Schizosaccharomyces pombe: one gene and its partners. The protein of the gene in region 2 purifies or fractionates together with the protein of the main gene of each other region. This does not show direct contact. Each region holds a gene or a part of one and is shown on either strand. Other genes may lie near its edges.

Region 1 (7,524 bases), on a different chromosome or scaffold from region 2:
TTTTTGCGACCGTGTATTCTATATGCTAATAAATAGCGGATTCATGACTTAAAAATTTTTATTAGAAATTTGGATAAAAGTAAAAAAAATATTGCAAGTATTTAATAAAATTTATTTATTTATGTTCGAGTAAGACAAGTCATTGTTGTCCTATGCTAAATGTTATTAAAATTATCATGTCTAGTCAATTCATCATGGAGAATAATATCTAATCCAGATGATCTTATTTTGTTAATAAGCTCATTCTCCTTGGGTTTGTTATTTTGCATTACGTCCTTTTTCAATCGAGTAAGATACTCATTAAATCTTTCAACTTCGTCTTCCAAAATTGAGTGTAACCTGAGAGATTGCAATGACTGCAAAGCAAGATCGTACTTAGACTTGTCAATAAGATTTTTAATTACTTTTTCCATTTCTGTCAAAGCATCCTCTAGTCCAAAAGGGTTTTTCAAAACTTCAGTGAAAGTGCCTACTGGGTCTTTTTCACTAACGTGAAGGACTAATAATTTTTCTCCTTCCTGTTCATCGAGACCAGAATTTAGTAGTTCTTCTATTTGTTCCTCTGATATTGGGGCGCCTGTGTCGAAGGCTGTTTCTTGAGAAGAATATTTTGGTTTGACGGGGACGTTCACTGTAAGTTTTTCCTTAATCAACTTCAAGTCCAAAATGCAATTATCAAGTAAACTTTTTGGAGGATTGGTGTAACGTGTTAAGTAAATATTTGGTTGAGGAAGATCGCCTTCTGGTGAATTTGCATAATAACTGATAGCTTGTTGAAGTCTATGTGGTATCATACTAAAGGTATTTTCGGGCTCAAAAGGAGGATTGAACCCACAATCAGAGGAATCTAAATCCATATTATCGATATAATTACTTACGGCAAAATCAATTTGTCGCATATCCTCTTCATTTGACAGTTTCTCGAACTCTGAGAAAGAATAAGGCCGAACATCTTCAGCGAATGGAAGTTGTATATCAACCAAGTAATGTCTTTTAAACTCCACGTAAGGCATCAAGACCAGCAAAACTGGTACGCCCTTATCTTTAGAAACAAACCTTGCGAGCGCATATCGGTGTTCACGTTCAAGGGATTGAACAAAGGCAGAAAAATTTAATTTGCTTTCGAAGTCATCTTTTGGAACGATTATATTAGTATCACTAATGGTATAATAAATTGGAAGACTAGATTTAGGAATAAATCCAAGGATTTCATAACCGGGTATTGTATCTAAAGCCAATACGTCTTCATCTGATCGGCTGATCGGGACGATTGTCCTACCATAACTATAACCGCTTTCCAAGTCTTCTCTTTTAACCTCAAAAGAATCGTTTGTTTTTGGATCACGAACCATGTACGATCGAACAGTAGACACTGCATCAGATTCCATACTTTTGTTTTCCACATTTGAATTTTCGATATTAAGACATTCATAATTTTTAGACATATCGTTTTCATAAAAAGCAGATGATGTTGGCGGTTTAGTTAAACGAGTTCTAGGATATCTTTCAACCTGTATGCTTATAGACGTATCTTTGCTGTCTCTATTACCAATACTAAATGTACCTCTAAAGATTGCGACAGGTCTCACTTTACGAACCCAAGGTTTACCGATGTTGTTATAAATCTGTTGAAATGTGCAGTACTGACCATGACAACTCTCAACAAACTCTTGAATTCGAACTTCGTTTTCCTTTTTCTGAGATTCCTTTAAAGGCTCAGAATAATTAATATCTTCTTGATCAAAATCAACTCCATAAACACCTAGAAAAACATCATGCTGCAGTAGTTGTTCGGCAATTCCAATGTAATCACTAAAGTCGATAATCCCCCTAGCTGCCGTAAGCACTATCATCTTCTTCTTCCATTTGTTCTTTTTACAATGCCGAGCCATCAAATCAAAGGACACAACTATTGCAGATATCAGATCGCCTTGCATAGTATTGCTTGGTTTTAACGTTTGAGAAACGGATTGTAGCTTTGAAAATAAGGCACTAGTTAAGAAGTTAATGGAGCATTTAAGAGAAAGCTTACGTTTGTATAGGATACAAAACACTGATATTCCAATAGGCTTCCTGCTCAGCTAAATCATTTTTCGTATCTAAACACCGTAAAAGTTAGAAGTAGTGTACCTTTAAAACATTACAATAGAATACCATCGCATTTGTAACCAACGATTCCAACTACGTCTGTCTTCCTATTTGCTAAAAACTGAGTATGTGTCAATAGGGTGTCGATAATGTTGAGCAAAATACCTTATGAGACAATTCGTCGTGAAAATACGACAAAGTCCATTCGAGATCAGAATGAGACCTGCCATGGTGACAGGTCCCCATATCTTTGCCCAAGTCAAGTACAAAAACAGTACATTCCTTATCACTCATACGAATTGTTAAGGAATACAGATTTGGTGGAGGTCAAAGCAAGGTGAGATTTGTTGTAGAACATTGGGGCCTCCGATGCTTTCAACAGTTAGATATCAATTACACGGTCATTTTAAATGATTCAGGTATTTTCTTCGCGGTATGAATATACTACATTAACAGTAAGTCCAGCAGCATATGTGCAAATGCACATGTGACTGAAATGTAAATAACCCAAAACATTGTATATAAATTAGTCAATTCATTTTTATAACTTAAATCAGAAACTCTTGAGAATTGAATTGGAGCTATTAAAGTTGCTAAGGTTTTACGCACATTAGAAATTTTGCATAGCGATGCTTTTACTTTCAATTCACACATTAATTTACAAAGCCGTGAACTCATATCTCAAGATGTCAATAATTAGTTAACATTCAGTTTAACTATTCATGTTAGATCTTATTAGTTTTGTACTAGGCGATTAAAACACCGAGCTGCCAGATGCATATCGCTCACAAATCTTTCGTACTACACGCAAATTACCAGAAAACGATACCACCCCCTTGAGGTATAATGTTTAAGGTGATATTTGGTTTTCTGTTGTGAAAAATATATTAAAAAACACACATATGTACTTCAATTATCGAACATACACATTTATACTTTGTTTTAAAACGCCAAAATGGTACGCTTAACTCCTCGATTAGTAGCCATTTTCCTTGTTGAAAAAACAACATCAGGAGCTAATTTCGTCTTTCACTGGCCGCTACAACCTCAAGTACGTCTACAAGCCACTCATCATAATAATGATTCAGCGGAGTCTGCAATCGGGATGCTCGACCTTGATGACAGCGATGATGATGAGAATAATAGGTTTACTGAAGTAGCTGACGATACACATGTACTTGGTTATGAAAAAGGCTTTCTCGCAAATATGCTAAGTCCTCGTATTGAACTTTGCAATCAAAAATTTGAAATTTGGGTGGATGGTCTTACTTTTTTGGGATGTCCTGTTCATATTGGTCCGAACGGTGAGTGGGCTAAACGAAGGAAACCACGAACTACTGTTGAGTCTAATGCTTCTTCGAGCCATTTGGTATCAAAGCCCGAATCTTCACACCCTTCGACAGGAAGTTTTGAAGTAAAATCATCTTCATCAAAATCGAGATCTTCAATGTCTTTATTTCATGTCGTCTTTGTATTAAATGTGCCTACAGCTACCGTATATCGCCCTACTGTAAACACGATGTATGATCATATAGTAGTCAAGTTAGTTACTGGACTTAAATATGAACAAGCAAAACGGAATTATGTTGAAAATGAGTGTATACACATCTTAAAACTGACTGAAAAATATTCAAGCCAAAACGTCCCATTCGATGTGTATGCCGCTCAAATCCCTCATCACTCAAATCTTGCTTCGGTTCTTGCTACTACATATGAGGCTTTAATTAACATGCATACGGCTTATTTAGAGATAAATCAATCGATTAACTTAAGCTTACTCTGGCCTATGTCGGTTTCCACCAACACACTTGAAAATTACGAACTGCAGGTTAGACCATCAACTATTTTAGCATCTCAAACCATCTTCTCTGAAGAACATCCTTCCTCTATTGAACCTTTCGTTGCCCCCTATTGGACTTTGTTGCTCTTAAAGGATACAGACACTATAATGAAACGTGTTCCTCTTTTACAAAATTCTCTTCTTTCTTCTTTCATTGCCATAGTAAAACCTAACTTAACGTAAGTTTTGTCAAGTCTAAACAAAATTTATTATTGCTATTAAATACTAACTTACAATATTTCAGGTTCACAGATATCGCTAATCGTCTAGGAATATCAGTATCAGAATGCTTTATTCTAGCAAAACACCTTATTCATTGGAGAAAGGCTATCGCTATTCCTCCTTTGTTAATCCGGAATACTTATGTTACATCCCCAACTGCTAATCTGTTTAATTTGGAGGAGGAGTCAAAGCTTTTTAAAAAGGAATTTCCGAGCCTTCCCTCACTGTCAACATTTTTAGCTATTTTGTCGTTTAAACCGCGACCATTTGCCTCCATTATTCCATCGAAAGATCATGAGTTAGTTTATTTGGAAATGCTTGCTTGGCTGTGTCGAAGAAATTGGGTTTATGAACAGAATATCTATATGTATATTCTCGTTCCAGAAGAAATTAAGAAAAAAGCGATTGCACTAATAGAATCTGATGAGTCTTCTAAAAATGACATGCAGCTTAGAAAGCAACTTGAACAAGATAATGGCAAAGAGTCTATTATCATTGATCCGCACTCTGCCTCTTTGCTTGAACAGAAATGGATTCAAATTATAGCTTATGAGAGGGGACCAGAAATGGCTCCATTGTTTACGTCAATTGTCAAATATTTAAATGGTAGGTTTGCTTTACAAACTATATGGGTTGCCGAAGGCTTACCAAGGAAACTAATGCGAAATATTCTTAATGAGTATAATGATTACATCCTTCGATGGCATTCTTGGTGAAACTACGAAAGTATAGCTTGGACTAGCTTATTAATATTTAATCAAAATTTAACACACCAAATATATTACCATTGTACGATATTAGTAAATTAATTATTAGAAAACGTCTTTGAAATCAAGTCATGACAAATACCTAATTATACAACCTATTCCATCAAGCTTTTTTTATATTTTATAGAAGACCCCATCTTTAAAAAAAGTAGATTATACTTTTTGATAAGCAATAATTCCCACATTTTCGTCTAAAATTTCAAGATCTTCTTCAAGGAACCATTTAGGCATACAATAAGTCCTAAATGGAATCAGTAATAAAATAATAATAGGGAAACCAATGGATGCTTTATCAACCTGAGTAATTGCAAAGGTAGCACCAAAACCTATTAATTGCAAAATAGTGTATAACCAAACTACGCGTTTTGAGCTACAGTGGTTTAAAGTATGGTTTTTAGATACCACCTTTCTGTCACTTAACATCCAGATTACGTTTTGAGTGATACCGTTGCCAAATATTGCTGAAAACCCCATCACCTAAAATTCAGTTAGCAAAATATAATCTTCCCTTCAAAAAAAAAAAAAAATACCCAAAATAATCCTGCTAAAACACATTGAGGAATTTGATGTAACACCAGTAAAAGTGGACCAGTCATGGTGCCAACAGTCATCAATCCCTGAATGAAATTACTAGCTCGTTGTTCAACAACTCGATCTATAACTTCTTTATGCGTTTTTTCAATTTCGTCTTCATCATAATCAACCCTTTTAACACAAAGTGCTGCAGTATGCATGGGAGCCTGTGGAATAAGCCCATTTGGAGCAGGAATACCTAAAATACCACTCACTCCAGTCGTTATACCAAGAAGAAAAAAATCCCAATGAAATCCAGCAGGTTTGGTTAATGGAAACGAAGGATCTTGTGCCATTACAGACTACTAATGTTAAAAAAAGGAAATTAAACAATACATACAGAAACGTTATGATCAAAATAGAATAGGATAGTGAGAACAATAGAAAAAGGAATTGCCAGGAAAACATCCCCAACGGGTATTTTCCAAAATTTTATAAACCAGCTTCTAGATAACGTGGGTTCAAAAGCTTTTGTTGTAGGAAGTTTCGCTAAAGAAACTTCCCGCATTTTCCCAATGTGCTGAAACCCACTGAAAAAAATGATGGATGCAACAAGTCCGTAATCAAGAAGTAGAATACGTACTTTGTAACTGAATAAAGAAGATTTTCCTACTGTATCACAAAGCCATCCCACCATTAAAAATAATAAAGCAATAGTAATTGACAGAAATGTATTTGTAAGCCCATACTTTAATTGGTCACAAAGAACTTGAACGCCTTTTTCCAAATAAATAAACGCAACATATAGGCCAAAAATTTCACAGCTGAATTTTGTGCTACAGTTTTCAATTAGCTGGATATCACAAGAACATAAAAGCAAAAAGCGAACTTACATATGCTTTACAAAATAAACCCCATTTGCTATAGCAATGATGAAGTGAAAAATCATTGACCAAAGACAAATCCAGCAAAGGAAAGGGAAATATGGTGTTCCTCTATCATGCATTATATCGTAAACAGTATAATTAAAGACTGTAATAGGCCCTGTAACCCCGACGATGCACAAAGGCTGCGAAGAAAGCAACGCGAAAACAACTGAACCTAAAACGCTGGCAAGTAAAACCTCATTCACCCCAAAACTGTTATTTGTTTTTGCAAACATATCTAAGGCAAATGCTAATTCTGGGAGTAAGCTAGCAAGTTTAGAAAAAGCACGATAAAATGTCAATTGTGATAAATGTATATTTGAAACGCACATACTTTGAAAAATAAATATTTAAACAAGCAGGAAGTACTCGATAATGACATGCATCAATCCAGTCAGATTTGTAATAAGGTAATCGCTTTTTTACATCATTAACAATCTCTGACCCAAAAATGTAATTAAACTTCTTATCCTTTTTATTCATATGATTAGAGATTATTTAAAAGAAAGAAACGAATTGGGTATGGCAGATTTGCTTTTATAATGTTGGTTAGTTATATCATAAAGGCCATTGGGTTCTAATATACCGTGGTATCCACAAATTACGGTAACGGTCTAGGAAGATTGATGCTTTGTAAACAATTACCTGTACTTAAGAATATTTAGAATCAAAATTAATAGGGAGAAATATTAGTCCATAAAAAATATTTTTCCACAATGTCGCAATGTCCACATTCTTTGCATTCTTGTTATAAAATCTATTTCATCGTCACATTTGATAGTTAATGTGGTCAATAAAACCGCAACCTCCTTTAAGTAAACAAAATTTAAATATTATTATCCGTATATATATATACCTTAAACCACTAAAACAACCTTGAACTTCAAAACTTTTATACTACTTTTCCGTAGATAAAGTATTCTTCGCTTTCTTTTTGCGTCCAGAATTTTTTAATTTATTAGAAATACCATTGGCCATCAGCCTTTTCTCGTTTCGCTTCTGTCTCCTTTCACCAAATCCCCTATCGATCATCTCAAGAGAAGCCTGGCGTTTAGCGTCCGTAACTTCCTTGATGTATTCAAGCATCTTATTCTCTGACACGTGTTCATATTCAGAAAGCTTAGTTCCTACTCGATCCTCAATAGCATGGACTAAATCAACATCTCTC
Region 2 (7,187 bases):
ACCACGGTGTGAAAAGAAGCGAAGAAGTGTGGGGCACAATTCATACAAAGAGCATTTGGTTTTGTTGACCGCTTCTAGAATACTTTTTTTTCGTAATTTGGTATGGGCTAAAGATCTCATGGCTCAAAAGAAAGCTTATGAAAGGCGTTACAAAAATTTTACAACTACCTCGAGCAGTTTTGACACGTTGCAAGGTATAGATACAGAGGCTATGGAATATGAATTTCCAAAAATTCCTCCGCTTGTATTTACTCCACCTCTAGAAGAGTTTTCCCCCGATACCAGTTATTCGCTTGTTAATGCGTTTGCCTATTGTGACAGAGATAAGAAGAATGTACGCAATTGTTCTTTTACCGTCATATTTCGGGATGGATCTGAAGAGACTCTTTGTGCTCCAACAGAAGAAAGCATGATAGAATGGGTAGCTAAAATTAACTACATCTCAACACTTCGTACAGCTGGTCTGCGAATGCCTGTAAGTGATTCTTACCATCCTAAAAGAGACTTTTCTTGCTATCCAAAGTATATGGAGGAAGAATTAGCAGCAATTGAAGCTCAAATGAAACAGGATATGGAAATTGCACGTGCCCGGACAATTAAGACACGTATTGACCAACTTGAAACATCTATTACTGAGTTCAATAAGAAACTCATGGTATTACAAAGAAATGCCAAAAATTTATCGACATGTGCACCCCTACAGCCGAAAACAAGAGTAGTTATTTTACAAGCCCTTAAAAAGGTCGATGCTAAAGCGCAATCATTATATTTGGAAATCAGAAAAATGGAGTCACAATTGCAAGTATTGCGGTTTGAATCTGATTTAGATAAATGCATTTCTCTTGAAAGTTCTAATGACATCGACGACAGACCTTCTTCGACAAGCCCAAGCACCCTAAAAAATCCGAGCATCAACTCAATCAATCGTCAAACACATGATGTTGAAAAAGAATCATCAGATAGAGATGTACCGCATCTTTTGGATCCTGATAATAATTTCAACTTGAAAGGCAACCCCGAAAACCCCTCATCGACATTTTTTACTCCTGAAATACTTTCACCAAAGGTTTACTCGGACAATGTTAAAGATGAGCCTGTCGAAGATATTTTTGGTTTTGAAGATACAAGCGAAAGCTCGCCCGGTAAACCCAGCCAATTGAGGCTTCAAATTGAAGCCTTTGATGATGAATTAGCTGACACAGCTAGCTTAGGTTCCGTGACTACATGTTTAGATCAATGGCAAACATTTTCGGACGATACAGATAGCGGGTTTGCTTTGAACCTGTACTCATCAGAAGATTTTCGCACGGATCCATATAAGGAACATGATGAGTTTAGTATGAATAGCCTATCGAAATGGCATTCTGCTACTTCTGATAATTAGCATGTATATCAAATGTTAACTACTATTATCTAAATATTTGTTCATCTAAAGTGATTTCTCTTTTTTTTTTTGATTTTTCTTATTTGAATTCATATCCGCGTATAGACAAGGATTCCCGCTTTATTTATTAATTATCTCTAAATCCATAATAATAAATTTTATCTCTCTTAGCCGTTCGAAAGTACACATTGCTGTAGTTACGATGCTTTAAGAACATTAATTGAAGAGCGTAACATTTGGTAGCGATTTTGATGTATTATGGCAATTCTTAAATATGTGGAAAAATTTAAGCGTTTATGTTAATTATATATTTTATCCGTCGAGCTACTTGGATTATGAGATGATCCACAAAACAGAAGACTAAAGGAATAGGTGGATAATGAATAAACATGAGTCTAATTAACTTCTAATAACAATTTTTAGTTCATTGATAAATGTCGTACTACATTTCGAAATAATTCTGCACCGCATGTAGAAAGACGAAAAAGAGTATAAACTATTTTTCTTTGCTTTTCAGCGAATACGAGTTATAAAAATTTTTTTGTTTTCGTATATTAATACCCAAAAATTAAATAATGCTGCAAACAATCAATAGCATAGTAAGTTATAAATTGAAAATAATGAAAAAGCACCAAACATAATATAAATACCATAACCGGAAATTAGTGGAATTAGGAAACAAGTCTACCATTAGATGTACTATTAATACGTTGCACCCGGCATTTCTTTTCCAGCATTTTTAAACCTAAAAATGGTGAGTATGCGATGCAAATTGTTAACTTACTTTTTCCGTTCATAAAACCAATCCGTCCGACTGGAACCAAGATTTATAACACGAGGGCAACCATCACGATCATATTCCATACGTGTGCATTCCGAACAATAATAACAATCAGAAACACCTGGAGCTCCACAAATAATGCATCGGTCTTGTGAGCTACCAAACGCGCATTCATCACATATTCTCACCAACGTTGTCGGCCTTACATGAGAATCACAAATAGGGCATTTTTCGTCACATCGTTCACATACTGTATATTCATGAGTATTAGAATCTGCCAATTATTTAACTATGCCAAATTATAGAACACTTTACACTTACACTTTCCAACAGTAATTCCTGGTTGTCTTCTGCATAATACTAAATCAGGATGATCTAATAAACGTTAGTATTTAATTTCATTTTTATTTCCATACGCTTTGACATTGTGAATATACTCAGAGGATTAATTTCAATGCAGCAGATATATATAGTAAATTTACGACGGTCCTTCGCGTTACGTTATGCTTAGTAAAATATAAACATCCTCTTCTGATTTCAAATTTCGTACTCGCTATTATGGATACGTTAAGCTGCAATACAGCCATGCAATGGCATAAACAAGTCGGAAAATGCGCGTTAGCAGTTGAAGTGCTATTATAAACAACGTATTAATAATGCTTGCAAGTATGTACCAAATATACTCTCCATTAAGCTGAGGATCTTTTTTTGTTGCGCCATATTTACGGAATTTTTGAACAATAAAGTAAAATAGAAATAAAATCTACTATTAACATTTATGAATTTATGATCAATGGACATACAGTAGTCGATGTTTACTGATGTATTGATGAAATTCAATTTTCATGGTAATCTTGTAGAATAAATAATTCTTTGTAGTAAAACAAATAAATGACGAAAATAAAGTGTTAAATACTTCTAATTAGGTACGCGATAACCAAAATTTAGATTCTTAAGTTTCAGCGTATAAACAAAAGGCACAATTACAATCGTTTTCCCTAACAGGCCAATTTACAGATAATCAACCATTGTAAATTGCAGTGTTTTGATAATATCTTCAAATTTATTCATAGTCATAAATATGATGCTAATGTATTCCAATCCTATACTTGACAATTTTGAAATTGACAGCAGAACTCGCAATGAAGATAAATTAAAACGACTATAGCTCCGATCATCCGAAAAAATAACAAGACTAATCGCAAGACTATTTTTTTTATTCATACATAAATAAAACAGGCATCACCCAATCCAGCAATCATTTCATTAACAACCTTTGGAGACTTTTTCAATGTGACACACAATTCATCAAAATGGTGCTTTCCATCCAGCAAACCAAGCAGTTTTTTCTCTTCTTCGGTTAAGTTATTCCTCATAGTCCTTCGTTCTAAGTATGGGTATTTATGCACACGATATATTAGCCCTTTTATAGTACCGAACGAGATTAGCCTTCGAACGTCTAAACCTTTGAAAATTTCTTTGTTCTCGTTCATCCAATCCTTAACACGAAGTCCTTGCCTTAAACTACAATACAGTTTGAAAATAGTAGCAAAAGTAACGTTTTTCGCATTAGAGCTGTTAGTTGATACATATGCCGTACATTCTCTTTGAAAATCTGGGTCTTGTAAAAGGTTAGGAGCATTAGTAGTCATAGCATAAATATTATGGAATTGAAAAATATCAGCTATAATTAGACAACCGTAATATAGAAAGTGTTCCATGCATTTTTGACAACTTCTATAGCTAACATTAGCTAATTCAGCAATCCTTTGAACTGAGTTTATGCCATTAATAAAAGGATAAACCTAAAAAATTAGTCAATTTTAATTTTTTTGGAAGAGAGTACCTTTTGAACAGTCATATCCCAATTTTTGTCCATGAGTAAATCCAACTGAGCCGTTAAAATTGGTACATGAAAACTTTTAACAGTAGGAGGAGAAGGAAAAACGGGAAAAAGCTTGATATTAATAGAATTTTGGTCGTCTTAGAAAGTTAGTTAAAGTCCGAATGAAATAATTGCGCATACCTAGCTGTATCATACACTCACAAAAGTTGTTCATGTCCTCCAAAATTTGCTCAATTACGCTGAAAATTACAGGTCTTTTGTTCAAATCAGATATATAATGAATTTGCTTTTCTAAGACCTCTAAATTTCTCGCTAGTCGCTTTACTAGTGGTATATAACATGCTGAATCTTCTTCTTCATGAAAAATCATACACATGTTGAAAATCAAAGCATTTCTCTCATAATTGCTACCTATAATTGATATTGGATGTCCAATGACTTGATAATGATTAGTACAAACAGTAATTGTTTTGTTGCAAAGTTCGCGTTTCGGAATCACATAGTCAGAAATAGTTTCGAATGGTAAAAGACAGTTCTTTCCACCATCAACATTTGTTACCGATCCAGCAGGAGCTTCACAAGCTACTATAGGGCCTTGTAAGGGATCAAATAATGCAAAAAATATTGCCAATAAACGAGGCGGAAAGCTGTCAGCTTGATCCATCCATCCCTCTTCAGAATACTCCATAGGAAAGCTAAAGAATTTAAAAATTTCCGAGTTTTTTATCTAACCTTTAATTTATGAAGCTAAAACTTGTAAGATATTTATTTTAATATTTCGTTATGCCCCTACTGGTGGATGCAAAAGCTTATGTGCAAGTGTCGATTTGGGGACTAACTTCAAAAACCATATAAATCTTTGTACGCTACCCAGAAAAGTAGTTGTGCTAATGAATTTATTATTTACAAACAATATTCAGATTTCTGCATTGATGTAACGGTAAGATGGAAAGTCATATAACACTTGTGTACATTGGGTCAGTAAATTATACAAATTTGATTCTTAACGTCAAAGCTTCCTGACTACAGCCACATTTCGCTACATCATTAATGTTAATAAGGTGATAAAAATCATATCTGTATTAACATTAAGGATTATTTCGTATGGATAACAGATGCTAGCAGCCTCTAGGGTTAAAAGATTTTAAAAAAGTATAAAACTTGATTTTCTTAATCTTTTTGCTTGATAACTGCGCTAGTAATATCCAGTATACACAGTAATCATATAAAAATAGTTAATCTTTGAAACGATAGTTAATAGACTTCAGTCGGATAAATCAAATTTTTACTGAACAGGAAGTTTTAATAAAAGTATTTGTGTTATTTTTACGCTAGAATTCAAATACTAAAACTAAATTTGTGTAAAGCAGTATTATTACAACTTCTGCTTAATTCTTAACGTAAGCTTTCGCTTAACTTAAACCTAAATAAAAAGATCACAAAACCGCTAGATAATTGTAAAACCTTTTATCCATTCACTGAGTCAATTATTTGTCCATATATAAATCTAGAGAGAGAGAATTGTTTTGTTACTATAATTGATTTCCTATCTTTTCAAACATTTGAAGATATAAATCGCTAGTTTCCACAGAAAATTAAAATAATGAGGCACCAAGCCATATTGACTGTATAAAAGATAAATTAAGGAGATACAGTGGAAAATTGTGATTGAGCCAGTGAATTTTTTCGCTGTTAGAAAGCAACGAAAAATACGTCAAATCATTGAAACTTCAATTAGGCATAAGTGCATGAAAGCTCGATAATTGTTCGAGTTGTTTAGCTTAAAACGAATAGATTAAAGTGCGAAAAGAGCGGATGCGTTTAATTTTTAGGATATTTGGTTTCTTTTAATGAGCTTTAGTTCATTCTTACTATATCGTTTTGTAAATAAACAGGTTCTGCCTGGTTTTCTCCTTCCTATTTTTTATAAGCAATATATCCTTAGAGTTTTCATAAACTTGACAACTTAACAAAATTAGTTGCTTGAAGTTTGAAGGGCCTCCGTTAATGGCTTTTTTTTTGTTTTTAATTTGATACGCTTCACTTTCAAGTTGATCATTATAACGTACCTCAGTGAGATAAAGACTGACGAGTCATCCAGCTCTAGCTAAGTATACTCGAGATATTTTATTGCAATATCTAATAATCATTTAAACAAAACTTGAATAATTCTGTTAAAATCGCAATTCATAAAACTGTTATGTAATTGTCATCGCTTATACATTAGCTTGTGATATTTACGTGTTTATCCGAGTGCACTATACATTAAAGGCACTACCACACCCGGCCAAATTGAATGTTTTGGGATTTTAAACATCGAATTGAACAGTCTGTTACAAATTTTAGAGAAACAACTTATGAAGCTTTTAGCCGATGTAAATTATTCTTGAAGACACTTCCAAAAACATCAATTTTTTTTTTTGACAGTAATTATACTAGAATGCCTTTTGATAATATGTTTTGAAGGATATTGTATCGGACAATTCCGTACTGTGGAATTGCTAAAGAATCTTGGAATTGACAGTTTGCCTATTTCATTAACGCTATTTATTTTTGCATGCTTCTTTATATTATATTTATGCGTAGAAGCTTTAAGTTCAAAAAATATAATTGAGGTACGTGAATTTTAAGCTATCCGTTTTTATCAACTAGAAAAAGCAAGCGGGATTTAAGTTTAATTCTTAAACAGTGCTAACATCCTTAGATCATCGGATTGCTATGCATTCATGTCGCATTATTTATTTATTCCATTGTTCAAATTTCAGAATTAGCAGAGATTCAGAAAGTTTTTCTTTCCAAAACACAATCCTCTCTTAATCCTATAACGCTAATTTTGAATAGGCATGAGGCAGGTAATGAGGGCATTTACTTTATACTTGAAGTCCCCAAGAGAATCAAACCATTCTTAATTGCGCTTCCGGTAATCCTTGGAGTAGCAAGTGTAATGTTAGGGTTCCTTGCACATGGAATGAACAAAGCGTATGGATGGGTCATCTACAAAAAAATAGGTCCTGAACTACGCATGCGAAGGAGATATTTGGTTTATAAGATATACGTGACTTTGTTAAAGATTGATATATACTTTTGTAAGTTTACTCAATTTCAAAAATTTATATCCTAATAGCTAATATTCTAGTTTTGGGAGTGACAGTACAATATGTGATGGTTCTACCGGA
Region 3 (8,849 bases), 2.2 Mb from region 2:
ATGGTTCTCATCATTATTATTTGGACAAGTTAATTATATACATCTTATTTGATATTGCTCAATGAAAAAGCCTGGAAACATAGCAAACCTCAAGTCTATTTCTTCTAAGGCTAATGCCTGCTCCATTAAACTTTTCATTTTAATCAGTAAATCCTATAGACGCAAAACTCATGATATATTTCATTAAAGAGAATTTCCAAAAATTTGGTACCTACGAGCAATGGAAGCACCATATTCTTCGTAATCTGCTTTGGTATGGCAATAGGATCCGAATTCAGGCTAAACATGTCAGTAAATCTCTACGGGTAAACTAAAAAATATACAAACATAAGATAATGACATACCGTTTGTGCTAGTAAACTGCCGCCAAACCAAACCGCATTTCGTTGACGTTTATGGGAGATAACATTAACGTCTACACCACCACTTTTAGCACCGGAGAGCATTTCACTGCGGTGAATACGCTCGTCAACAATCCGCTTGAGATCTCTTTGTAAGCGGTTGCCAAAGTTCTTAAACAAAGTACTACCACCAGAAAGGACAATGTTTTTATAAAGGCCTTTACGAACGTCAATGGGTGAGCTCTGTACGACGTTGTCCACAAGTTCCGGAAGAGGGGTCAAAAAATCGGAAGAAGCAATCTCAGGATTAAAAAATATTTCAGGTGCGAGGAAGCGTTCAAATCCTACATCAATAGTAGTAGAGTGTCCAGTAATTGATTCAGATGCATATTTTAAATAACGGTCGGGCTCACGATCAAATCTACTAAACTCCTTAACAATGTCCGGACAAACGTAGCAACATTCCTCTTTAATTCTTTCAGCAGTTTTGAGACTTGAATCAGGTTCATTGCGGTCACGTAATAAGGATTGAACAAAGTACGTAACATCACGACCAGCAAGTGGCATTGTCTTAATGGAAGAGCCGATAACATATCCTTCGGCCTAAGGTTTATCAGTTAGTAAAATTCGGGCATATATATATGCATTTAATGTTCAAAACTGTTTATCTAAGCTCGTATTAGATTTTTTATACATACAACAGGAATAATATGAGTAACGCCATCACCAGAGTCAACAACAGTACCGGTCAACGAACGATCAGTAACTTTTGAAGATGTCCAAGAGGCGGCAAGAGCCAAAACCGCTTGAACAGCAATGTAGAGTCCTGCACAGTTGAACGACTCAAACATAATCTCTGCAGTATTTTCACGGTTTTCAGGTGGATTCAAAGGAGGTTCGGTCAAAAGAAAATAATGGTCCTCTGGTTCACAACGTAAATATTTAAAGAGAGACTGTTGCCAAAAACGCTCCATATGGTCCCAATTTTCTATTTGTCCATGACGGATAGGATAGTCCAAAGAATATCCAGCAGACGCCTTTTTCAATGCATCGTTTCCAATAAAAAAGTCCAAGTCCTCAGTTGCCCTTTTGCTTGAGAGATGCCCACTGCCTTTCGAGGCCATGTAAGAAGGCTTTGATGAAACAGCCGGCCCTGAAGAAGCACCCGCAGAACGCGTCGCAATAACAGTGGGGAATACATAAGAAGGAGCATCGTTCCCAGCATAGCTGAAATTAAATTACTGTTAATAAATGCTCAAAAGAGAGATAATAACATCCTAAAACGACTATTACACATACCCAAGCTTGCTATAGCCGGTACCGCTAACAAATAAAGTTAGTAACTGATATTCACGAACAATTTAACTTCGCTACATCAATACTTACTTGTCCATTATAATGGGAACATTAAACGAAGCCATTGCTATTATTTTATGAAAAGGTAAGCGAAAGAGAAGTTGGTTCCAGTTGAAACTCTTAATATCGTCTCGCAACGGTCACCGATGTCGAATTACGTGGGTTAACGGGAAACATATGGTAATTTACGAGATGAGCCGATTACGTTAAATGCGAATGCCCGTATACAACCCACTTTGGATATCTTTACTAAGGCCAAATTAATTTACACAAAAAATTAAATATGTATTTCTTCAATACCAGTACCACCGGTTAAAATTACCAAGTTGCTAAGCTAGAAGACGCTTCTTGCTACTAGAAAATTAAATATTAACGATCTTGCGTTAATCCCTTTTCAGTAATAAAACTAACCACGTTGGTATTATCAAACAATTACAAATGTAGATAGCTATGTCGAATTTTTAAACAAATCATAGTATTAAAGACCTTATGCTTTAAACCTCTTAGCCTTAAACATTTTTAAGCTGTAATCATGGATTTTATATTCACTCATGTAGCAATTATTACTTGTGAACCAAACCATAAACTGTTATTTTAATGCTATTAATTAATGCTCTCATTTGCAATTTCTATTTCAGTTTGCATTCACAATCACAGTTAGGAACCGGACATATTGTATGAGTTGAAAACCATTCTGAAGCATGAGATGCGTGAGCTCCATGGCCACAATTTAGACAAAAGCTAAACCATAACCCAAATCTAGATTTCTGAAGATTAACTTCTTTGACATAGTTTTGAGGTTTTTGAGAAAAGTCATCTTTCTGAGGAACATCTTCATCTCCTAAAGAAAACCCACATACAGAGCACTTTGGAAGAGGCTGTCCGCAATGAGGACAACTTTTTCCCAAGTGTTTTGCTGGGCCTGCTTTACTGACACCTCGTTGAATTGGCGTTGGTAAATTATTACATTCATTCCTATTGGAGAAAGGAAAAATTGGTTTTCTACAAAAATTGCAGATAATGCGTATAGATGGCTCTGTAGCCTTTCTGGTTATTTCTCCTGTGTGATTTTTTGAGAGTTCTGTCCGAAAGATATCAAACTTTGCACGCTCACGGTAAAGTTTCCAGCGGTTTAGAAGCTCTCTATAACTTTCAGTCCAATCCTCTGCACGTTTATCCAGAAATTTCTTAGGTACCACAAATGCAGCAATCAATGCAGCAGTTTGAACATCGCTTGTATGATCAATGTAGTTCTGCAGAAGTTCCATTCCCAAAGGAGTTAAACCTGTAAGTAACAGGCCTTCTGGGTCGCCTGATTGCACTGTAGTGTGACATAAATCGCACAAATAATTACTCAAATCGTCATCTGGTAAAAAGCGAAGAGCAATTCCAAGACGATCTTTTAATGAGAGAGAAACTTCATCTAATACATCTCTCCAATCGGAGTTGGAAACATACGCAAATATTGCACGTAAGTATGGATCTTCCAATTCTGTACTTAAGTTACGAGACATTTCTTTCCACAATGAGTCACTTCCAAAGTTACTTAAGCCTTGCGATGTAATGTATCCGGCAACTGCTGTGGATATGGTCTTCTCCAGCTCATTCCCACTTGATAATATACGGACTACGTTTTCAATTTTTCCGTGGAAAAGTGCTAACCCAGCGGCTTTTACATGCTCATTCTTGCGAATCAGTCTTCTAATTTCCAACAACAAGTCATCATTTGACATTCCTAATCCACAGGCAAGTAAAGCGAGTTGGCGTAAAGGCCTTTTAGTTTGGATAGACGTAAATATATCTAAATCAAGTCTCTCAATAACATCTCTAGCAAGTCTTAAAATTTTTTTTTCTAAAAATTTGCTTTCTTTTGCTTCAAAAACATCGGACATGCTAGTCAATTCAGTATCCATAAACCAAATACCTAGTGCACCTTGATAGCTGAAATCTGTATCTCCTGTGTCTCCAAACAGTGATTCTTCTGATTGTCTATGGCTTAAGTGAATCCAAGACCATAGATCTTTTAAGTATAAATCAGAAACTAATTCTGAGTTTTTTTGGGAATCAAATTGGTAGCCCTTTTTGACGCGATCTAGTATTGTCCCTTGAATATCAGATCCAAGGACGCGGTTATAGGAAAGCAATACTTCATGAGCGGAATCCTCTGAATTGATTGAGTTGTTTCTTGTCGTTAGAAAGACTTTGGAGGAACAAGAAGACGAGGAATCGAAAGAGTTTTCATCGACAAATTCGCTGACATCAAATTGTGGGACATCAGAAAGTGTGTTAAATGGTGAAGAGTTTAAAGGATACAGTTTTTCTTTGAAGGAAAATATCAAATCATTATAAGGGTTAAATGAAAAGGGAATGACCTCATCATGGACAGAAAAAAGTTTCGGTTGTTCGTTTATGACACCCAAAATTTGAACATGAGTTGGAAAGGCTGTAGAAGGAGTAAAAAAATCAATGCCAGAACATTGTGAATTTGGTTTAACAGGATATTTCTTCTCATAATTTACAAAGACAGAATTATTTGCGGATCCTTCATTTCCATTGACACAAGGCAATAATTGACGAAGTGTAATCGAATTGTTTGACAAAACAGCCAATTGTCCAGGTTTCCATTCAGAATATTTCAGTGCAAATAATTGTGGATTTTTGGGCTTTTTATTTTCGTTCCGTAAAATAATTTGTAAATAATTATCGGATTTGAAGTATCGAGTATCAAAAATCGCAATGTCACCATCATAAGAATTTGCGGCAAAATAGTTAGGAGAAAATGGATCAACAACTATATTACTATAATATTGCGTATTGACGGAAGAAACTGAGTCTAGTTGCTGCCTAGTATCAATTATATGGACAGAACGCGAAGTTGATCCGGTAAGCAAAAGAGGAGTGTCTTTCTTATAACAAACGGAAGAAACTCCGTCTAGAGTAGAAGACTGCATTAAGGGACTACTCTTCGGGTCAGACAGTAATGAATTCAAGTCCCATAACTTCAAGGAAGACTCGTTTCGAGATTTTGCAAATCCAGCAACAAGATGTTCAGTTTCAGAAAATGCCAAACTATTGCAAGGGCGAGCATATCCAGGTGTTACTACTGCTTGAAATTCTGGATGCTTAACAGAAAGCAATGATATATTTCCGGTAGAAGAACCAGCACCCAATATTTCATTGTTTCCGTGAAAAGAGTCTATACATTTAACATTTTTCAATGATCTCCAAATAATGTGAGTTTTCCAATTTACTTTAGGGGAAGCTTTGACGGCGACATATCGAATCTCATCTGAGGAGCCGTTAACCCAAAAATAACAGCCATTCCTCTTTTTACTTCTATTTAACATTCTCTAAAGAGAAATTTGACAATTAGGCTTTACCAGAAACGCCCAAAATACTGCATAAACATTAAACAGAGCTTGATCGAAGCGTTCTTCAATCTCAACCACTCGTCAAACATAACGTTTAGCACTAATTTGCTTAACGATAGCTAACAGAAATGCCTTAACAACGGACTGAAAAGAGGCTGTCAAATTCAAAGGTTTTCTTTTTGCTATTGATGATTCTCTTAACAATAGTAGTATTAAAATACAGACCGGTTGCTAGATTAACTATCTTTTGCATACTTTTTAATCTCTAGGGTGACTTCGGTGTCGAACAAGCGATTCTTTGATGTACTGTTGAAAGTCTAAGCTTTTAAATCACTCCACAAGTACAACATATAAATCTACCTTGAATAAGTGTGAGTGAATCAAATATTTTAATCATAATTACCAGCTTAAACTTATATATAAAAGTAACGTGTCACTTGAGAACCTAGCAGCTGTAAAAATTGCAGTCCTTTAAGTTTACTACTGTTCTTCACCAGAACTAATTGTTTATGGTTTGAATTTCTATTTATCTATTTTATTGAGCGTTTTAGCATGCCAAAATTTAAGGGCCCTGGACTTTCTGTGCTGAAGAAAAAAATTCGCGACAATGAGAGATTATTGAAAAAGGTGTGTAATTTTTTTGCTGGTTTAAAAACATCTGCGGTTTCAGTGTGTAATAAATATTACCTTCCTTTTTATGTTAATGAATAAGAAAACTAACTTCCTTTAAGGAGAATTTGCCTGCAAACATTCGTGTTGAACATGAACGAGCTCTTTTGGGTCTACAAGAGCAGTTGTCTATGGCACAGTTAGAGCATAAAAAGCAAAAGATTTTTGAAAGATACAAAAAAGTTCGATTTTTTGGTATGAAACATATATAAAAACAGCATTTTTTGTTCAGTGAACTTGCTTACTGATTTTCTCAGAACGTAAAAAAGCAGAACGACGTATTAAACAATTGGAAAAATCTTTGAAGGATGAAACTATGGATGATGAGAAACGCAAGCAGTGTGAGAAATCGATGCGTAAATGTCAAATTGATCTTATGTATATTAAAGTATGTTTGTATTTTCGACTTCATTTCAACTATCAACTTGGCTAAGATACTAACCTATTTAGGAATACCCCCCTTTAACAAAGTATGTTTCACTCTACGCAGAAGGCACATCTGAACAGACCGAAGAAACTCGAAATCGCATTTGGGCCGAGATGGAAGAACGCTTTAATAGTGGCAGAAAACACAAAATACCATCTTCAGGTTCCAACAGGGTTCCTGTACAGGAAAAAAGTTCAACTGGTGGTGATTTGGAAGATGAATTTTTGCAAAGATAAATGAAAACTTGGATTGAGGTTTTGGAAATAAAGGGATTAAATAGACGAAACTGTAATAATATGATTCATTCTTTTTAATAAAGGTTGTGAAGTTTCCATATGAGTTATCGAGCAAGGTATTCTTTTTATGCAAGTTTATTTAAATTTTTTCTATGTCATATTGCAATGGGATTTGCTAGGGTACCAAAAATAGAACTTGTGGGAGAGAAGCTTTTGGATCCTAAGGTTCACTGAAGATATTTTTCACATATTTCATTCTATAATCTAATATGCTAAAATTCGAATGATATTTCATGGAATATCAAATTAATAAAAATATAAATTTACAAGAATTTAAGTAAAAACAAAAAATTAGGACTTTCATTTTGTTCTGTTTTAGGTGGTCGAATTATTAGACAGTTTAATAGTCTTTATCATTGCAGCAGTGTTTTTAAGAGCTCTTAGATGGACTTTCGGTTTTATCATCACAGTACCCTGTTATTTGCCTGGCAAAAAGTTACCTAGTGGGGGTTTAAAAATCAACACCAGTATGTAGTATATACATTTTATAATAATTATTTTTACATTTGCTTCTATAGATTGGTATATTTGAATTTATGGGTTTAAGACCTCAATAATATGGTGTAGTATATTGACTTTGCGCCCTTGGTGGTGTCCACGGATACCTAACCTCCGCACCACACGAAGTTACGACTTGTTTAGTGTCGATATGGCTGAGGGCACAAGCCAAAGGCCATTAACGCCTTTGTCGCAGGCATTTTTGTCAACTAATACTCTTTCTCCTGCTTCTTCCCCTTTAACTTTCCATTCTGAGGCTGCATCTCTGCGTAGAAAACGGTCCAACTTTTTCCCCAAATTAGATGAATTAAATGGAGCTCAAGATGAAGAAATGAGAGGTCTTAATATTCCTGGAGGATCAGGATATCTCGAGAACCGATATGGTCGTGATAAGTTTACGTTTTCTGATGCAGCCGTTAACAGTGCTGGAATGGGAGGGTCTGGCATATTTTCCCACAACAATGCAGATGATGGTTTGGGTGATGGTTCTTCTACGGTTTTACCAAGTTCCCTTAAACAAATGCTGGATCCTGAAATTTCAACTGCCAATAATCCATCTGCAAAGCCTCGTCGAACTCGTCTTCAAACTGCTTGGAAAGAAGCAACTAATTCAGCAGGCCTTTCTCTCCGGTCTGCAAGTGCTTTAGATGTACTCAAAAATTCTGGACCTGCTACTACCTCATTACTTTCCTCAACAACATACCCTTTTGATAGTTTAAATGCATTCAACGAACCATCCCATTCACATGTACCAAACTCAGCTTCTAGCACTGCTCTGTCTAGAGGTATGAGCAACTCTGTAACTTTGACGGCACCCCCTGAACCTGATGAAGAGACCATTCCTACCGCGATTGTTATTAAAAATATTCCATTCTCCTTGAAGAAAGAAGTGTTGTTTAAAGTGTTCACTGCATTAGACATCCCACGTCCATACGCTTTTAATTATCATTTTGATAACGGAGTTTTTAGGGGCCTTGCCTTTGCTAATTTCCATTCTCCAGAGGAAGCCAAAACGGTTGTGCAAGTTTTGAATGGCTATGAAATTACTGGTCGTCGTCTTCGTGTTGAATGGAAGCGTCAACTACCGCCTGCGGAGCGTGAACGTGTTGAGCGTGGTAAACAAGAGAAACGCGCTGTAGAAGAACGAAAAAATCAATTGAAATCTCCGTTTTCTGTTGCCAATATAGGTGCTGGCATTGATTTTGATTTGAATGATCCAGCTATACTCAATGTATATTCTCATATCTTGTTATTTTATTATCGCAGCGATAACACTAATGATCTTGTATTTGATTCTTCAACCACCCAGGAAGAACGTCGGGTTGCTGCCTTATTAGCTTCCCGTCTCAATCTCAATCATTCAGTTACTGGTGACGGTGAAGCTAAGCAAGTGGTTATTACCATGCCTAGTACTCATTTTACTCCCGCTAATAATTCGAGTGCTAACCACTCTCCTTTGATGGCCCCAAACGCCAGTACTTTAAATCCTTCTTCTTTAGGTGCTTCCAATTTGAGCCAACCAAGTCTTGCAAATCACTTGAGCTCCTCTGGTTTATTTGACAATGGTCTTTTCTCGTCCGGTGGTCTTTCTAGTAATTTTTCAAGTCTTAGACGACCCGCTCCCTCTATGCATCTTGCGGATAGCATACGTTCTCTCAGAGGACTAAATGATTCTAAAGCCTTTTCCGACATACGTAGTATGCCAGCTACTCCGTTAGAACTTGCTACTCCTTTTGCTAATTTAAATGTTTCCTCTCCACTGGATCGCAATGCGACTAATTCATCAAATACTTTAAACGGTAGTGCGATGAACGATTATTTTGCAAGCCTTACTCCATCAAACACCGGTGCTATTGGATCCAGAACTTTTACAAAGAATTAGTCTTGGATT
Region 4 (8,299 bases), on a different chromosome or scaffold from region 2:
AAAACCTTTTCTACGTCAACTCCAGATTCTTCATAGGTTTCACGGACAACGGCCTCTTCCAAGCTTTCCCCTGGCTCCAGAAAGCCTGCCAGACATGCATACAGTCCTTTCGGATGGCGCAAAGCTCTTCCAAGTAAAATGTGTTGCATATCATGAGACAATATAACCATTATTACGCATGGATCTGTCCGAGGATACTGGTAATTATTAATACCCTTCTTTGAAGGACAGTTTGAGTCGTCGTTCAATAAAACGTCACTGCAGACCAATTTTGTACCGCCCATAGTAGGTATGTTGCGTTTTCCACAACCCGGGCAAAATCTGTACCTTGAAATCCAGTCAAGAATAGAGCGTGCAAAAGCACAAGCACCAGAATCCGATGCGCTCAATTGATATTGTTCGGTGAAGATAGAGCGAAGATTAACGAAAGTACCTCCATTGTCTCGTATCGATTGCTGAAGTTCATCGATGCCAGTAATGTCAATGGCAAAAACGTTGTGTTGACTCCAATTATCTGTTGGTCCATTTCTTTCTTCGTTGCCCATGTAGACAAGGACAGGTAAACTTTCTCCTTTGGAAAATCGTTCAGCAATTTGTTTATCAGTGTGCTCAAAAGGGGAGAACGTGAAATATTTGGATATCTGAGGATATGAAAGAGTGACCAATTTATCGTCCTTTACGAGTAGAGCCGGATTTAAGTCACAAAAAGGAAGAAAGCGAGTGGTATGATCATAAAAGGCTTTATTTAAAAATTCTCGATTAGACCTAAGAAACGAAAGCCTATTTAATGAGCTTCCTGCGAAGAACTGAGAAGGGGCAGTCGGAAGCCTTGAAAAACGTTAGAAAACTCATTTTTTTAAGATTATTATATCAAAAATTGATTTTATGTGTTACATTGCACATGTATTAGCAAGGGTTGAGCGGTACGTTCCATGAGCATGCAAAACAGATGATATGAATTATCAAGTTTGAAGTAGCTTTAAATAGAACTAACAATTAACTACTTACTCAAAATGTCGAGCTATTTTGAAACCCTGCATACTTAAACTTGATTTCTGAAAGACGAAAAGAATATTAAACCTAACCAATTATTAAAACAGAATTTTGCAAATCTCTCGAATAAATTCTACAATTGTTTAACTGTTAAAATACGCAGAATAGAAAATGAAAGATGGAAATGAAGAACAGAGAGGACCAGAAGGAGGGTTATTTATGCACCAGCGTAATGGTAATGGTACAATTTATGAGTGAACTAAAAGTCGAACCCAAGTTGCAAGTAAAAATCTAATAAAATGATGTAAACGAACTCTCAGCTGGGAAAACCTTAAAGTTCCAAATGAAAAGGGATACTGAATATGAAAAAGTCTCCGTTAAATACGATTGCCATACAACTTCTCAAATGCCATGAAGTATTTAACGAATTTCGTTAAAAAAATAATTGTAAACATATTGGTATGTGTTTTCGCAATTATTAACGCCTTGGTGAGTCATAAAAGTATCATTGGAATAAAAATAGATTTTGTTTGTTTGTTTTTTTGGTTAATTCCTAAATGGACAGTTACGGGAATTGCTTTGAGTTGTTTTCGTTATGTTGACGATTAATTAACTACAAAGTTCTCACGTGTCAGTGTAACAATGTTACCTAGACTTTTAGGTACCTATTTATTTAAAATTGGGTCTATGTTTATTTTACAAGCTTGAATCAAGTAAATATATATTTTCTAATCATATGAATACTAAAAAAATTTTTACAAAGGAACCCAGCAAAACTATCAAATGGAGCCAAAGTAGCTTATTTATTTAGTATGAATGTGATACGCAACGCGACGTGTCGCGCGTTTAATTTACTGGCTTAATACGCGAGGCGAGGCTTTTGTTTACAAACAATACTAGGTGAATATGAGAAAATATTTGAGTAAACAAACAAAATCAAATTGTATATATATCCAGGATACTCCTCCAAACTTCCACAGAAAAAAAGATAGGTTTATCTTTTTACTTCTAGAGGAAAACCTGCATCTTGCTTACCGAGGCCATTGCTGAATATTAAAGCCAGACATAAGTAGGATTAACCAACAGGTGAATTCATCAGCCTCCCAAGGAATATATATACATACTTCTTCTTCCTAAAAATCTTTCCGAGTCAATCCGGAAGAGTATGGACTTCTATTCAGTGAAGTCTCAGCCGTTTGTTCGATCTCCTCTAGTCGACCAAAATCCCAGTATACAAAATATAAACGAAGAAGTAAAGAGAGATATTCAAAATCCTCTTAGCTATAAAACAGAAACTTCGGACAAAGAACTGTGTCAAACTGCAGCTTGCGCAACTTCATGCTCCGACTGGTACCCTCAACAACAAACGCACATGCCTCATCAAAATGCCTTTGACTCTGCTAAAGCCACAGCAAAGATGGCTCTCCCACCCACTGCTTTTTCAAACTACTGTGTAAAACCTTCCCTAACGCGAAACAAGGATATACCAAGAACCAGCATTCGAGTTTCCAAACTTCGTTACTGGCAAAGAGATTATCGATTGGCGTTTCCCAACTTTATATTTTACTTTGACAACGTTGATGAGGAAATCAAGCGTCGTGTTACGCAAAAGATTAATAATCTTGGAGCCGTAAGTAGTTCATGCAAGAACTTGCGCAGATCAAAACTAACACATATATAGAAAGTAGCAACATTATTTACTTTTGAAGTTACACATTTCATTACCACCAGGACTACCGACCCAGAAATGTGCCAGCCGAATGATGTACTTTACCTTTCGAAAACTGCCAATATGAAAATTTGGCTCCTGGACAGTAAGTCTTCTTAATATATCAGTGTAACCTTCGCTAACTTTCTTAGAACTATTGAACAGAATCCTCTTTACATTACTCAACTCTGATAGCCTGGTTAATACCTCAGCTTCGTGCTTGCAATCTCTCCTAGACGGTGAAAAAGTGTATGGTACATCAGACAAAGACTTTTACGTGCCAAGCAAAAACGTCGAGTACTTTCGTGAATACTTCCTCTGCATTAGAGATTTATCACAATACTATAAGCCAATTGCAGTACGAGAATGGGAGAAAACATTGGATTCTGGAGAGATCTTATGGCCAAGTCTTGCTATAACCGCACAAGGAAGATGTCCATTTAATACTGGTAGAAGAAGGGAGTTAAAAATCACAAAACATAACCATCCAGCTCACGAAATCAGAAAACAGCTCTTAAGTTGCACTAATCAAACTAACCAAAATAACGTTGTTAAAAATTCAGCGAGTGTGTTGGTGCGTCAAATCATGGGGGACTATAATATCACAGAATCAGCAGTTGATGGTGCAAAACAAATGCCGACAGAGTTTCCAAAGCCAGAAAACCTCTTACCGGTAGAGAAACGCGCCGCAATGTCTCCACTTAACCTTCTTGAACCTCGTTTAATAAACAAACAAAACACCTTGGCTAACCAAAGTCCTCGACAACCACCTAATGCCTTCGATGCAGATCCTCTAGCTCACAAGAAGGTGAAAATCGAAACAAAATCAGGATATTGTGAAAACTGCTGTGAGAGATACAAGGACTTGGAAAGGGTAAGTTAAACCAATCATAGCAAAAACAGCACTAACACATCGATAGCATTTGGGCGGAAAACATCATAGAAGATTTGCAGAGAAAGATGAAAATTTCCAGGGTTTAGATGATTTGTTTTTGCTAATCCGACGCCCAATTCGGACAAATTAACGTTAGTTCAAGTTTTAAGGATGTCTCAAAAATTCCAGAAAGCAAGTTCAAACATTCAAATAAACCGTAAAATCAATATATCCTTTGTCCAAATGAAAAATTCAAAATAATCTGCTAAAAGGGAAGAGAAAATTAACAATATAATGATGTGTTGTAGCATTCTTTTCTTAAACCAAGGTCAGGCTTAAGCCTATGATTGTAACAAACAATGCAAGTAAAGCTCCAAACATTATCGAGTTTAAATCAAAATAGATTTAAAATAAGTTAGACTGGTTTTCCAAGCGTGGAAAGCTCATTGGTGATACACTCTTTCAAAAGTTCAGATTTGATTTGCATCATTCCTTCCTTTGCGTTTTCTGTTCCAACAATCCCTAATAATAATGGGTCTTTGGAGTAAAGTTTATCTTCAGCCCCATCAATTGAAATGGCGGCTATTAATAATTTCCCCCTTTCAAACTCAATTATTGTTTCAAAAAGTACATCTCTTTGATGAGCAATCACGTCGTCTGTAGACTCCGCGACCAAAGGGCTAGGGTTGGTTGCAGTATAAAGTGAATACATGTTGCCTGCTAAAGCCGCAATAGATCTAACCCTTTTAGCTAAATCCAGACGTTTTAAACCATCTTTAGGATCTTCAAAAGAAACATAAGCTAGCAGCGAGCCAGTAGTGGTAAAAACCCTAGTTTGTTAATACCTCAGAATATTTCAACAATAAACTTATATATCTAAGCTCCAAAATAGTACAGGTGTACCCACTGGATTTGAAGTAAGAATGAACTTCAAATTCACTAAATGCTTACATGATAGACGGTACAGTTTCCTCAACTGCCTGTTTCATCAACGACGACAACTTCTTTGGCTTAATCATCTTCGAATTTAAACTTAGATAGCAGTAAAGGTAGCAATATGTATTTTAAAGTCCAATCGGCAATAACGATTTAACCTGTTTTGAATGGTGGTTATAAGTAGTTTGTAAGCTACGCAGTTTGGTATCTGATTTAAGGATACGTAGAACTGCGGTGAGTTTTCCTTGTGGTCTATTATATTACAATACACAGGTTGTATAAGTAGCAACTGAGTATAGGTATTGTATTAACTGGGTTATAATGTTACCTATCACTAATATAGCTCATAACTGAACTGAGGAACGAGGTTCAGTTGTAACGCTATTTATAATATTTCTAAATAGTTGTTATCAACGGGTATCTATGTATATAGAAGGATAGTTACCCGTGATTATCAATAAACGGATCTTAGCTAGTATTCCAACATATGACATATAGTGATACGCAACGTAGTGTAGCATAGCGTAGTGTAGTATTGCTGACATAGTTGGACAATATACGGTGGACGTAATGTGTATTATGTTAAGTAATCTGATAATAAATAATATTGTTATAAGATTCCGAATATTTTATTAAAGTAAAAAATGTTAATCGACATATATACATTTTTATTTCTTTTTATTGTGTTTGAAAATTAGGGCTTGGTAGACCAACGTTCTCCCAACGAATGCTTTATTTAGAAAGCTGATTTGCATATGCAGTCCGTACTATTTGGGCCTACAGAGACTTACCATTAGTTACATATACAAATGATCTTCCCTTCATTATGAAATTAAAAAGCTAACTATTTTCTACAGTTTGAGAAAAAATGACTACGTTTCGTCGTGCAGCTTCAGAATTCCTCAAACATTAATTAGGATAAGGATTACCCAATACTAAAGGGACAAAAACGGGTTAAGATGTATCATAAAACAACACAAAGTTATCTATAATATGACATACCACTAATAACATAGCGAGTCAAAAGCGACGTACTCACTTCCGAAGTTGTTCGCAATATAAGTAATTAAATTGGGAAAAACACATGTGTTAAATCGTTTCGTTAAAAGCTATAGTTAAGTCGAAACAAATTATACGGCCATTAAACTGCCAATAAAATGAAGGACCAACCGAGGACGAACGGCCACAATATCTTCTGGCAAAATAAAGATTACGGCACCCAACTTTCTGGCGATAGAAATAGCAAGACGAGCTAAACGATGTGTTAGTAATGAAAATTAAAAATATATCAAATATATATACATACCATTTTGAATAGCAAGTTCTTCAGTAGAACCATCGGTAACAAGATTGTAATCAACATATTCGCTCTTAATTCCATGAAGTACGTCTAAGACGAACACACCAGTGGAAATAGAAGGATCACGGAATGAACGAATTTGAGAACCTTTACCACCTTTAGCAGCCATAGAATTGGCCCACGCAACCATGTCACTATCTGAAAGAGTTTTACCTCCACGGCTAAGACTATGTAGAGTTTTGGTAATGTTCATACGCATCATTTGCCAAACCAATGCTAAGGTGAGTGTACGAGAACCGTCAGTAATATCAGCACCTTGTATTCCTACCAAAGAAAAACCTTGATTTTTTCCAAGGTCCACTGCATAATTACAGTTTTCAACAGCTTTGAAACGCATCATTTCATCTCCAGATGCAGGTGCCTTGTTCACCTTTTTCCAGTTAACGGTATTAGGTGTGATTTTATCGTAAGCTTGCAACAAAATCAAGCCATCTCGTAAATTATTGAAGAAGTCATGAATGGATGGAGTAACATCAAGAGAGTTCAACCACAAGGTAAAAACACGTGCCTCACGCTCACCTTCTGCATCAAATGGTTCAATCTCCGGCTTTTCCTCTTCATTTAAAGGCTCCAAACCTGGATGAGTATTAAAGAGATGAGCAACAAAGGCAAGGTTAAGCTTAGGGTTCCCTGCAACCATAGCGGTAGGTGTAAGATATTTGCGGCAATCCAATTTTTCAGCATTCTGTAAAACCTGTTCAGCACGCTGCAAAACATCTGTAGTTTGAAGAGGAGCACGTGAACAGAGTTCGGGAGCTAATTGGTTGAGCAGCACAGTATAATTCTCGCCATCTGAAACATCTTTTGAGAAGTTAGAGACAGTACGCGGCCAATTGGCAGCCTTTAAGTGATAATTGAACCAGCGGAGAAGAATTTTCTCAGGAGGGAGACGGAGAAATTGGTCAAGGGTTTCATCCTCTTCGAGAAGGCGGTAAAGCTCGGGATGTAAAGTAATATCAATCTTTCCAAGGAGACCGCGGCGAATGATTTGCCAAACAAGACCAAGAATCAAATGTTCACGACCTTCTAAAATATCGCCGGCACCAATGTTGGTAATGGAGATACCACCCATAGCTTTTGCGGAGTTAATAACAACATTGTTATTTTCAATACATTTGAAATTATCAAGAGGCTTGTTATTTCTCTGTTTATTGAGTACACGCTCATCAATGGTGTCGGGAACGCTGTCATTAATTAACTTTGAGAGGATTAAACCATCTTTGCATTGATCGAAAAACTCAAAGGTTTCAGTGTTGATGGGGACTCGGGAACCAACATCAGGGTCTCCAGCTAAGACGGAATTAATATGCTTGATAAATTCTCTTCGCTCTTCCTCATTAATGGTATGAGAAACACTTGAGGAAGATCCTTTGATAGTAATCCGACCCTTTTTTACTTCAGTACCTTCTACACCTTTTTTTAAAACATTGAAAATCTATATGCATTAGTAATCCAATTGATGAAGCGATATAGAGACACATATCGTGAAAATTACGGAAAACATTACTTACTCCTACAAAGTCTTCGGGTTCAACACGTCCAGACGAATCAACGTTAACTTCACGAATTGCTTCACGGACCTCATCGTAAGAACCCTTCTTTGAATCTTCAAAGGCTTTAATAGTGGTAGGTTGATCTAAATATCCCTTTCCATCCACATCAAGTTTGTTAAATTGGTCGGTTAAGGTTAGAATTTCCTCATTAGTGAGCTCCGGATACTTCTTTTGAAGTTTAAGAGCTAACATTTCTTTAAAAGTAAAATTTGACCAAAAAATGTATAGTAAACGAAACCACACGATGTGTGCTTTGGGTGGCTTGCAGTTGCTACGTGACAAGGATTAACGTCGTGTTGTTGATGCACATACATCATACTTACAGAAGCGTAGAGCAAAACTTTGATCCGCTCGCTAAATGAGTTAATACACGTTTGCTTAGCCAATCTGTTAAAAGTTAATTTGCAATTGTAAAAAGTAATTTACTACTTGACGATGTCTTGCGTTGTAGCTTTAGATTGAATATATAGCTGGGATATCAACTACATTGAATTTTAATTTTTTTTACAGAATAAAAAGCTAAACGTAAGTCCATATCAAATTAGCGATATTACCGAATTCAAATGCCATAAACATCACAAACTAGCAAGCTCTTTCAATTGAAGTCAACTGATGCATCGACTTGAAAATTACTTAGTACTATATGTCAAGAAGCCAAAATTTCTACTTACTATGATAGTAGATCCTTTGTAAAACGTTGCAGAAAGTTTTTCCGGCCGTGAAAATTCGTGTTTTTTTTCTTTTGTTCAAGGGTTTAGGTCACTGAAGCCAACAATTTTTGATACAATATAAGAAAAAGAAGTAATTCCCGCTTTTAACTGCGCAATAGGATAAAAGATTAGCCAGATGTCACAGGGTTAAACTTTTAACCTGAC

Evidence for each region.
Region 1: the proteins of npr2 (region 2) and npr3 purify together in Schizosaccharomyces pombe (affinity purification with western blotting; one study listed by BioGRID). This does not show direct contact.
Region 3: the proteins of npr2 (region 2) and sea4 purify together in Schizosaccharomyces pombe (affinity purification with mass spectrometry, with the first as the bait; one study listed by BioGRID). This does not show direct contact.
Region 4: the proteins of npr2 (region 2) and lam2 purify together in Schizosaccharomyces pombe (affinity purification with western blotting; one study listed by BioGRID). This does not show direct contact.

Annotation. Positions count from the first base shown.
Region 1 is NC_003423.3:4,302,986-4,310,509, forward strand, and holds npr3 (Npr2/3 complex subunit Npr3), read left to right. Parts: upstream 1-2,875; 5' UTR 2,876-3,043; coding exon 3,044-4,107; intron 4,108-4,172; coding exon 4,173-4,866; 3' UTR 4,867-4,942; downstream 4,943-7,524. Other genes in the region: Ku domain protein Pku80 , read right to left, coding at 156-1,992, 2,033-2,099, 2,155-2,209, 2,254-2,382; bor1 (HC03 family inorganic anion exchanger), read right to left, coding at 5,071-5,394, 5,448-5,792, 5,831-6,266, 6,324-6,623, 6,691-6,839; ATP-dependent RNA helicase Dbp8, read right to left, coding at 7,254-7,524.
Region 2 is NC_003424.3:2,492,728-2,499,914, forward strand, and holds npr2 (Npr2/3 complex subunit Npr2), read right to left. Parts: upstream 4,836-7,187; 5' UTR 4,700-4,835; coding exon 4,192-4,699; intron 4,149-4,191; coding exon 4,012-4,148; intron 3,971-4,011; coding exon 3,386-3,970; 3' UTR 3,117-3,385; downstream 1-3,116. Other genes in the region: guanyl-nucleotide exchange factor Sec73, read left to right, coding at 1-1,384; RING finger-like protein Ini1, read right to left, coding at 2,087-2,129, 2,169-2,415, 2,487-2,540, 2,582-2,591.
Region 3 is NC_003424.3:343,390-352,238, reverse strand, and holds sea4 (GATOR2-SEACAT complex ubiquitin-protein ligase E3 subunit Sea4), read right to left. Parts: upstream 5,128-8,849; 5' UTR 5,045-5,127; coding exon 2,327-5,044; 3' UTR 2,088-2,326; downstream 1-2,087. Other genes in the region: ARP2/3 actin-organizing complex actin-related protein subunit Arp3, read right to left, coding at 184-279, 345-944, 1,040-1,568, 1,641-1,664, 1,728-1,762; efg1 (rRNA-processing protein), read left to right, coding at 5,621-5,695, 5,800-5,932, 5,995-6,125, 6,188-6,400; RNA-binding protein Cip2, read left to right, coding at 7,110-8,840.
Region 4 is NC_003423.3:3,101,126-3,109,424, forward strand, and holds lam2 (guanyl-nucleotide exchange factor Lam2), read right to left. Parts: upstream 4,662-8,299; 5' UTR 4,595-4,661; coding exon 4,527-4,594; intron 4,406-4,526; coding exon 3,991-4,405; 3' UTR 3,727-3,990; coding exon of another isoform or gene 3,622-3,726; 3' UTR 3,576-3,621; coding exon of another isoform or gene 2,854-3,575; 3' UTR 2,808-2,853; coding exon of another isoform or gene 2,675-2,807; 3' UTR 2,624-2,674; coding exon of another isoform or gene 2,159-2,623; 3' UTR 1,777-2,158; downstream 1-1,776. Other genes in the region: SPOM_SPBC1778.03C (NADH pyrophosphatase), read right to left, coding at 1-828, 1,009-1,040; Spo4-Spo6 kinase complex regulatory subunit Spo6, read left to right, coding at 2,159-2,623, 2,675-2,807, 2,854-3,575, 3,622-3,726; fim1 (fimbrin), read right to left, coding at 5,642-5,763, 5,818-7,306, 7,383-7,616.